2 linked regions of the Tribolium castaneum genome follow. The main gene of each other region encodes a partner of the protein of the gene in region 2 in a complex. Links are inferred from orthologs where the notes say so. Each region holds a gene or a part of one and is shown on either strand. Other genes may lie near its edges.

Region 1 (4,435 bases), on a different chromosome or scaffold from region 2:
TCACCAATTTTTCAAACGTGAGAAAATCTTGACATTTTTGACGTACGTTTTTGAATTTTGATGGTGGAGCCATCTGTAGAGTGTATAATCGTTATTGTTGCCCTGTCAAGGTCCGTGTCGCTACTTTAGTATATCTACTGGCTTTGGTTTTAGTAATAGTCGACTTTTACTTAAAACACGCAGGTGTGCCAAAACGCAAAAAGTTGAGTAACTCATTTTTTTTCAAATGGAACACCATATATTTTTTACACGTATCGATAGCATTTTTCATAAGCTTTCTAATGATATGCGGTTTGCATAACAAATTTGAAGTATTTCTTAAAGTGTTTAAAAATAATATTTTTTTTACTTATTTTATTATTAGTTCTTGATGAGCAAAATTCATTTATGTATCAAATAATAATTAGATTACTAATGTAATTAGTCACATTAGTACATACCAAAAAATAAATTACCATTTGACTTATTTTAGGATTCTAGGATAACAAATTTTCTTGTAATAAAATGATTTTTTTCGAAAAATTTTGAAAAATATTTTAAATTTGCTATACCGTCAGAAAGCTTATCAAAAATGCTATCAATACATAAAAAAAACAATGAGTTATTCCACTTTTAGCGTTTTGGCACACTCTGTATATTATCAGCTTGCTTTAACTAAAAGTCATGTATTTGCTAAAACTACAAGGTATTCTAAATTTTTTTGTTGCAAAATTTGCCGGACTTTGGATTGATTTTTCAAAAATTGGTCTTTTCATAACGAAAAGTTCAGTAATTCCAAAAACGGATAAAGATAGACCATAATAGTTACATTATTTTTTGCGTAGATTCCAATTATGCAAAAATATCTAGGGTGTACCATTTAGAAAAATATAACTTTGGTTCACCATCCTGTCCATAATAAAAATATTTTTAGTTTGTGGATTTTAGGTCTATCTATCGGAAAATAAAAACAGCATAGCAATATTTCAATTACCAAAAAATAGACCGATTACACCCCCTGGGCCACGTTGATAAAATTGATATGTTGATAAAATTCACCATAAATTTCGATTACCGTTAAGAAATTATGGTCCTTCCCTTTGAAAAAACTGTTTTTTGAAAACCATTTTGAAAAAAAATCTTACTAGCCTTGAATTTTGGCAATTGACAATTTTGAAAATTCTAAAAGACTTCACAAAATTTTTCAAAGTGTGGACTTCATACTTTATGCATGAGTACTTTTAAAAACTAGAAATTCTTAAAGTCATTGGCAACTTAAAAAACAACTTTATTTTAAATGATAGTACTGCAAGTGCTTACCGTTCTTCTGTATCTGCTCTCTAACTCAAGTTATTTCGAATTAAAGTTGGAGTTATGACGTTGTAACCGCCTATTGAGCATTTGGTCCAATTGTAAGATGTTTTTAAGGCAAAATTTAGAACAGAAATTAGTCAAAAAAGTAGTTAATTTTTGATTTTGTGAAAAATGTGTGAAAAATGTTCAAATATCTGTGAAGTTTTTGACGATTGAGAAGGTTGAGTGATGAAAGGCGGTTGTGACGTCACGATTTCTTTCTTTCGAAGCGATTATTTCACTTATTTCTCCAGGAAATTTTGAAAAAAACCTACTGGCATGGAACGAGCGATATTTTAAATTTCCGTTAAAAAATAGAACTGGCAAAATAAGTTGCCAATGCCTTTAACAAAGATTAGCTAGGTAAGTGTCCAAAATGAGTACATAAAAATGATTATAAATTCGACGGATTAATATTTAATATCTAATATTTTTGACTTTTGTACCCGTTGAAATATTTGATTACAGGATGAGTCTGCTAAGGAATGTTAAAAAATTGCGCTAACTACAGAAAAATTAGATTTATTTATTGTGTATTCAAAGTTTTAAAAAGTATATAAATGGCAGTAAAATCTAAAAAAAATTGCATTATTGTGTTTGTCATTGGATATTGAGTTGATGCACTTCTGACAATAAATCAGGACAATCAAAAATCGTTCAAAAAGTTAGCAAAAAACTGGTGTTTCACTAATTTATTATTTTAAATATCCGCTGATATTTGCCTAATTAACTGTCATGTCGCTATTTTAACGTTCCAATTAAAAAATTGCCACAGTGCAGAATTGTCTAAAAATAAAAATTGGAAATTTAATTTTAATGAATTATTACTTTTTGATATTTGATTTTGCGAATTATCATTAGCACAGAGCTTGCAAAAAGTGGAAAAAGCTGCAAGAATCTGTCGAAGCCTCTCAAGCACTAATCTAATAGATAACTCTTTATCACTCTTAAATTGCTACAACACATGTATCGATTCATGTAATAATAAACCACTTTTAAGCCCATCGCTGATAAAATAGTGTGAAAATAATGTAAAAATCTGGTCGATCAAAAGCCCGTCTTTATTCCGATCCATCAGAACCGACGAACGCCTCTGGAATTTTAATAAGTCGAAAAAATCGACCCACCCTTAATCACACATTAAACCCATCATTACTCCCTTCGAACTAACCATACACAAAAATTTCACATAATTACTTGTCACGCGATTCGTATCGATTTTAAAATTATTTATGCGTTCCGGGGGAATTTCCAAAAAGCTAACCGTCGTCCGCGCTCACCCTTCGCAACGCTTTTGCACCCCTAAAAAGGGGCTAAACTGGGTAATTCCCCCTCGTTTTGCAATTTTTGGAAAATTCCATTTCCAAATTAGCCCGAGAGCGCGACGTAGTCAACAAGGGCAATTTAAATAGGGATTTTCCCGAAGGGTTTAGAAGCAAAAAAATGTGACTAAAACTCACCCCGATTTTTTTAGATGTTTTTAGTGAAAATTTAAGGACGGAGACACTGAACTAGCTACAAATGGCGGCATCACTATATAGGTCACTATTGAATCAATCTGCGCGCGTCTTGCAATTGATTTTGGGGGACCGGAGCAGTGACGTCACGCCGGGGGCGGCGGCATCTGCCGACAAATCTCCGATTTGATTTGATTTTAATAATGGCCAAACATGTACAAAATTTCAGAAATTTTCGTTTTCGAAGTATAGGGCTGGCACCAATCTTGGCACACCCTGTATACTAGGAAACGTTACTCAAAAAAAAATAAGTTTTACTAGTTTTTTTAATATATCGTTTACAATACAAGTAAATAAAAGCAAAAAAAAATGTTCCATAAAGAAAATCAAATCATTGAATTTTTAAATGAGTCTGGTGCCATCTTCCAGTTAGTTTTATAGTAAGTGACAAATTACAGGTCGCTACAGTTTGAGTCTGTCTAGAGATAAAAATGTCACAAGGTTAGGATATAAAACGACGTACCAATAAAACGTTCCCGTTCTCGGTAGTTCCGTTAATGTCGCCAGAGAGCGCAGTTGTTCCATTACCGTCTTAGTTTTCCGAACCATGAATTTGAAAAAATGGACGGTAGCAAACCAAAAAAAAACAAAATTCAGGCAAATAGTGCAATAAATCCTCAATAGTAATACATAAACATAATGCGAAAATCTTATCATAAACTATCTCAATGTCATTAAAATTGCAACACCAAGGACATAGAATTTTTTTATGAAACTTGGCACAAATGGTCGACGTTTAACGAGTCATAATTGATTAAACTTTGAACCATTTTAATTACTTAATAAAATACCAAAGGTCCTTTTAACTCTTATTTATTATTTTTGATAATGTTAGAGCTGTTTCAACCTCAGACACAAATACATAACAGATGGCGTAACGGCCGAAACATAATGAAAAAAATTCTATAAGAGTTAAAAGGACCTTTGGTATTTTATTAATAACTAGCAGTTGGCCACGGCATGTCTACAACCATTTATAAACACAGAAAAACAATGCAAAACTTAGTATAACAAAAAGTAGAAACACATCAGTTTATTGTGAACTTTAAAACCGTGATCCAATGCAAACCCGAGTAAATTTTGCTTTTTTTTTCATAATTGCAAACATACTCATTCCCTGTTTAACCCTCTTGTGGATGTAATTTTCAAAAAGGTCCATATGCCAATTCTCTTGAATATAACTTCAAAAAATGAAGGAGTTTTGCATTTAATTCCATTAGGGGTGGAGTTTCTAAAAATGGTGTAATATACGCCTCTTCCTTTTTAACTGAATATCTAAGATATTAATTGATATGTATAACTTCAACAATAAAGTTTTTTTATATTTACCGAGTGCTCAAAAACCGGCGTACCAACTCAATGGTGTGTGGTAGAGAATTGCTTCTATATGAAGGTAAAAATAGTAAAAAAATTCCTTGCATTAGAGTTATTGATAAATAACGAATTTTAAATAAATGATATGTGGCAACGTTGTCGGACAGTCGTGATTGCAATAGAATTTCATCAACAATAAAAATAAATTATTTTTGAAACGGTTTCCTAGGAAATAATTCCCAGTGTTGACACATCTACAAACTGATTTTTTG
Region 2 (4,422 bases):
GAGTAAAATGTACCCTAGTTGTTAGTTCTTATCTGTCATAATTTCTGATGTATATTAATTTTTTAATACAAATTTTCATTTGTAAAAGGTTTCAAAATATTACAGCTCGTGAACCCTTTAAAATAAATGAATAAATCTTGTTGCATTTGATAGCCAAAGGTTCAAAAGGTCATCTGAAGTCTGATTGTCAACTGTCAAATTGCAAGACTACTATCACTTTTTGAAAATGATGATTAAAAAATGATTATACACTGTTTTTTCAAATGGAATAACCCTGTTTTTTCAATGGCAAACAAAAAACATCAATTTTTATGCAAACTTTTATTAACATCTTCTATATCTATTTCTTACAGTTTTTTAAATAATCGCAAAAAACAAAATTTTAGCTCATTATTTTCATTTTTAATCAAGTAAACTTTGGAAAATTACGATAAAATTGTGATATTAATTAAAAAAATATCCTATTTGTTTACTATTTTCATTTAAGAAGTTCAAAACTTAATAAAAGATTCACTGAGTTACTTTACATAATTCACTAAGTTATAATAAACTATAATTAAATATTTTTGTTTTACTGTTTGTTCAATAATGAACGAAATAAAAAATAAAAAAATAATAAATTTTGACAATTCTTAACCATTTTGCAAGGTCTACTTGATAAACTATGAAAATTACGGAGTAAAATTCGTTTTTTGTGATTTTTTCAAAAACAGTAAGAGGTAAATATAAAACGTATTGATAAAAGTCACCGTAAATATCAAAGTTCTTTCGATTGCCGTTAAGAAAATACGGTCGTTTTATTTGAAAAAACTGAGTTATAGCAGTTTTTTGATAACCATTATGTAAAAATTATACTAGCTATTATACTATACTATAGTATATATTAAACTATAGTATGAAATATAATACTATAGTATAATTAATAAACAATAGGCTTTTATTAAGAGACAATTTTACAGTCATTATGATACTCACCATTATGCCGATTAATAAATAACAAAAGCAGCAACTAAAAGGTATATCAAAAACTAAAACCGAAAAAAATTTTGGTGAGATATGCAAGGTGAATCAATTTTTACAATATCTCTAAAACTAATAACACCACAAAATTCTATTAAATATTAGATACCCTATTTTCCTCTATGCCTGAAATATGTTTCAACAATTACTTATAATTTAATTAATTAATTAATTAACTTATTACTATTAAACATATCTGCAAAAAATTGATACACCTTGTGTCATTTGGGAACAAGGAAAGCTTAGGTAAATGTTGTTATGTAATCAAAATCCGTATAAAATTGTGCAAGCTCCAAAAAATAAGCATCGTTGTTTAAGAATAACACTAGAAATCATACAATTTCGAAAAATTAATATTATTATATTTGTAGATATTAATATTTTTTCTACTTTACAAGTAAGTAGAAAGTAGTTACACAAAGAAATTTTTTGTGAAACTCTTTTTAGCAAATTTTTAGAAGTTGTATTGGCAGTATGGCTGGGTGCCATCAGTCATCACTCTAATCTAGTGTATGATCTGTCAACAGTGACAAGTCGTTTATTGATAAAGCCCGAATAATTGAATAATTTGAACAGATTTTGATAAGTTAAACTAAACAAAAACAAACAACAAAAATAGAAAGTAGAAAAAATAGTATAATACACCCGTTTGTGGCACTCGTTCCATTGGAGCACTCTTTCGTCGTGCTCCAAATTCATTGGTACCACAATAAAACGTCTTATAAAACTCGTATAAAAATTGACTATTAATTAATAAATTTTAATTAAAAAAAAAGAAGAAATTGTCTGAAAAAAATCACATACATAGAGAAAAACTTATGAACAAACACTGAATTCGGTTCGACTTTTAGTTTTTGAGATAGTAAAGTATACTTTTAACAAACTCACCCCATACAGAAAAAATCATCGAGCGGAGCGAAACTTTCTTAGAGCTTTGAGAGCCAAAATAAGTTGATACGCCACTATATACACGACGATAAATATTGTCTCTCTACCGAAAATTTTGTCGCTCCTGAACTTAAATTTTTCATTCGTAGATAAACAATCTCTTTATTGTCTTGTATAATAAATAACTCCAAAAAAATTTTGAAGACTCTAATTCACTTCGTGAGACGATTTTGTATATGTATTTTTAAATTCTTATACAAGTGTGATGATCCTGCTGGAACTTCAGGTCTAGTTTTTGAGATATGCGCACATAAATTTTGAAAATTTGTGTATTATGAGGGGATATAATTTTTCAAACTACGTTTATTTACAAATGGTTCGAGTTCATACTTTTTATATAATATAAGTTAAAGTCTATAGTTTTATGCTCATGTTGCGTTTTTCTGAATTTGTTGTGTAATTAAAAAAAAATTCTTAACGCATGTTAATTTGGCAAAAAGTGAACATATCCTCAAAAGTAAATTAAAAAACGAAACGTAGGCATGTCTGATCAACGGTATAACTGTGTGTAACTGCAATGTTGGGAGATTACTGCTGGTGTCTCAAGCAAGAAGATTTTGCCATCCAAAACAGAAAAGTTGAAAACTGTAATTTTTGATCTTATGATTCTGTTGTTTTTTATGTTATGTTATTGTTTTTTAACCCATTTCATATGAGTTATAGCTATTTTCGTGCTATTTCCCGTTATTCAGTGTACCCTTAAAAACAGGACCTGATGGAAAAAAAACTGTACTTATATTCTTGATATAACAGTTATTACAACCACAACCCTTTTTTCTTGCAGTCATCTCTAAAACAGGGTGATTTTTTTAAATAAACCACTCCTTTAAATAATTAAATGCCAAAAAATTTGCCAGAAGGTGCTGGGATTTTCTGATTTGTCTTTCCAATGTGGTTTGTTTTAAAGAATAAAATAATGCTAAAAAACGTGATTTGTAAAAGGATATGGCCACTCGATGATGAAGCGCGTATGTCTACGAATAGGATTCTCCTCGGAGAACAGGAACAACGAGCTGGGCCCCTGCCCTCCTGCCGCGCTGGCTCCACCCATTGTATCAGCTGCGCCCGCCCCCGTCTGCTGCTGCACCGCCTGTGCCGCCGCCTCCTGCGCTGCAGCCAACCTAGAACAAATCATTTTTGCATCATCCAAATTTGAAAAACATACTTCAACTGGGCAATTTTAGCAATAAAAGATAATGATAACTCATCATTTTGAAGCAATTTTTATACTTTGCATTTATAATACGTTTATTAACGTCTATCAGTAGAAGTCGTTTATGGCTCATTAAATAAAGTACAGTACTTTAAACCTTAAAAAAATAGATTAAACGAGTAAAGAGGTATTTTTTTATTTTTGTATTAATTGAGCAAATTTTTTATTAAGGACAGCAGTCCTTGTTAAAAAATAAGATAATTGGAAGAAAGTAGAAATTATATTTAATGAAAAATACAAATTTAGAACTTGTTTTGTAATTTTCTGAACAAGCAAACAATGTTGAAATATGATTTTTTTCTAGTAAACTGACTTTTTTGGCCCTTCGTAAACTGGCCCTATAATTTAACAGAAAAAAAAACAATAATAAAAATAACAAACTTTTTTTAAATATCGTAATATCGATTCCACGTAAAGAATAAGTTAAATCGAACAAAATATACTGAAACATTAAATACCAAACATTTTCTGCCCCTTTTAGCATCAATTATAAATAATACAACAGAAGAAGAAATTATATTATTGCAATTTTTGGTACATATTCAAGATAATATAGGTAAATTGAACTTTTTTTTGTTAAAAAATAAGTTTAGTCAAATGATGAAACATGTAGATAAATACAAATTTGCACCTACAAATGTAGACCCTAATCAGCAGAGTAGTATTTAATTAGTAGTAAAGTAGTATTTATATAACTTTTTTAAAATCTCCAACTTTTTTCATAACTTAACAATTTTTCATAAAACGATTTTACTTTAGATTAAATGAAATCAGACAAAAAAATGTAGTTTTTTTCAGGTTTGTTAACACCTATTTTATTTTTCAAACTTGGGTAGTGCACTCATTGAAAATAAAAAAATTCGGCGCCCATGGTAAAAATATTCATCTGAAAATTTGAAGGTACATAACTACGGAAAACTATAACTTAGTAGACGAAACGTGATATAAAATCGCAGAATTTTCTGAACCCAAAAAAATAGTACGACAGAGTTATACCGTCTCAGCGCCAAATCATTTTAAATTAATTTAAATGCAATCAATTCACTAATTACTAATTACTTGGACAAAATTGTAAAAATGTTGATTTAAAAATATTTAAAATTTTAAATTTGCTCCTCGTCCCATATTTTTCAAGACACTGCAAATACGGTTAAGGTACAGAAAAAAAAATTACAAAAAAAGTTGCAAAAAATTACATTTTCCATAAAAATGTCTGCAACATCTTATTTCTATCTTCAACA

Evidence for each region.
Region 1: the proteins of cacophony A (region 2) and Rbp are in contact, whole or in part, in a crystal structure (PDB 4Z8A), measured with the Drosophila melanogaster proteins. The link is inferred for Tribolium castaneum from reciprocal best matches to the Drosophila melanogaster genes cac and Rbp. Residues at the interface, in NP_001245639.1 of Drosophila melanogaster: Ile1688, Gly1689, Arg1690, Arg1691, Leu1692, Pro1693, Pro1694, Thr1695, Pro1696, Lys1698, Pro1699, Ser1700, Thr1701, Leu1702; in NP_732029.4 of Drosophila melanogaster: Ile1353, Leu1355, Tyr1356, Tyr1358, Leu1363, Pro1365, Asn1366, Val1367, Asp1368, Val1372, Glu1373, Thr1378, Gly1379, Asp1391, Gly1392, Phe1393, Leu1404, Pro1406, Ser1407, Asn1408, Phe1409.

What each region holds. Positions count from the first base shown.
Region 1 is NC_087401.1:8,017,909-8,022,343, reverse strand, and holds the start of Rbp (RIMS-binding protein 2), read right to left. Parts: upstream 2,917-4,435; 5' UTR 2,793-2,916; intron 1-2,792.
Region 2 is NC_087400.1:9,233,848-9,238,269, reverse strand, and holds the start of cacophony A, read right to left. Parts: upstream 3,104-4,422; coding exon 2,917-3,103; coding exon of another isoform or gene 2,897-2,916; intron 1-2,896. UniProt on the Drosophila melanogaster protein: Voltage-sensitive calcium channels (VSCC) mediate the entry of calcium ions into excitable cells and are also involved in a variety of calcium-dependent processes, including muscle contraction, neurotransmitter release, gene expression, cell motility, cell division and cell death.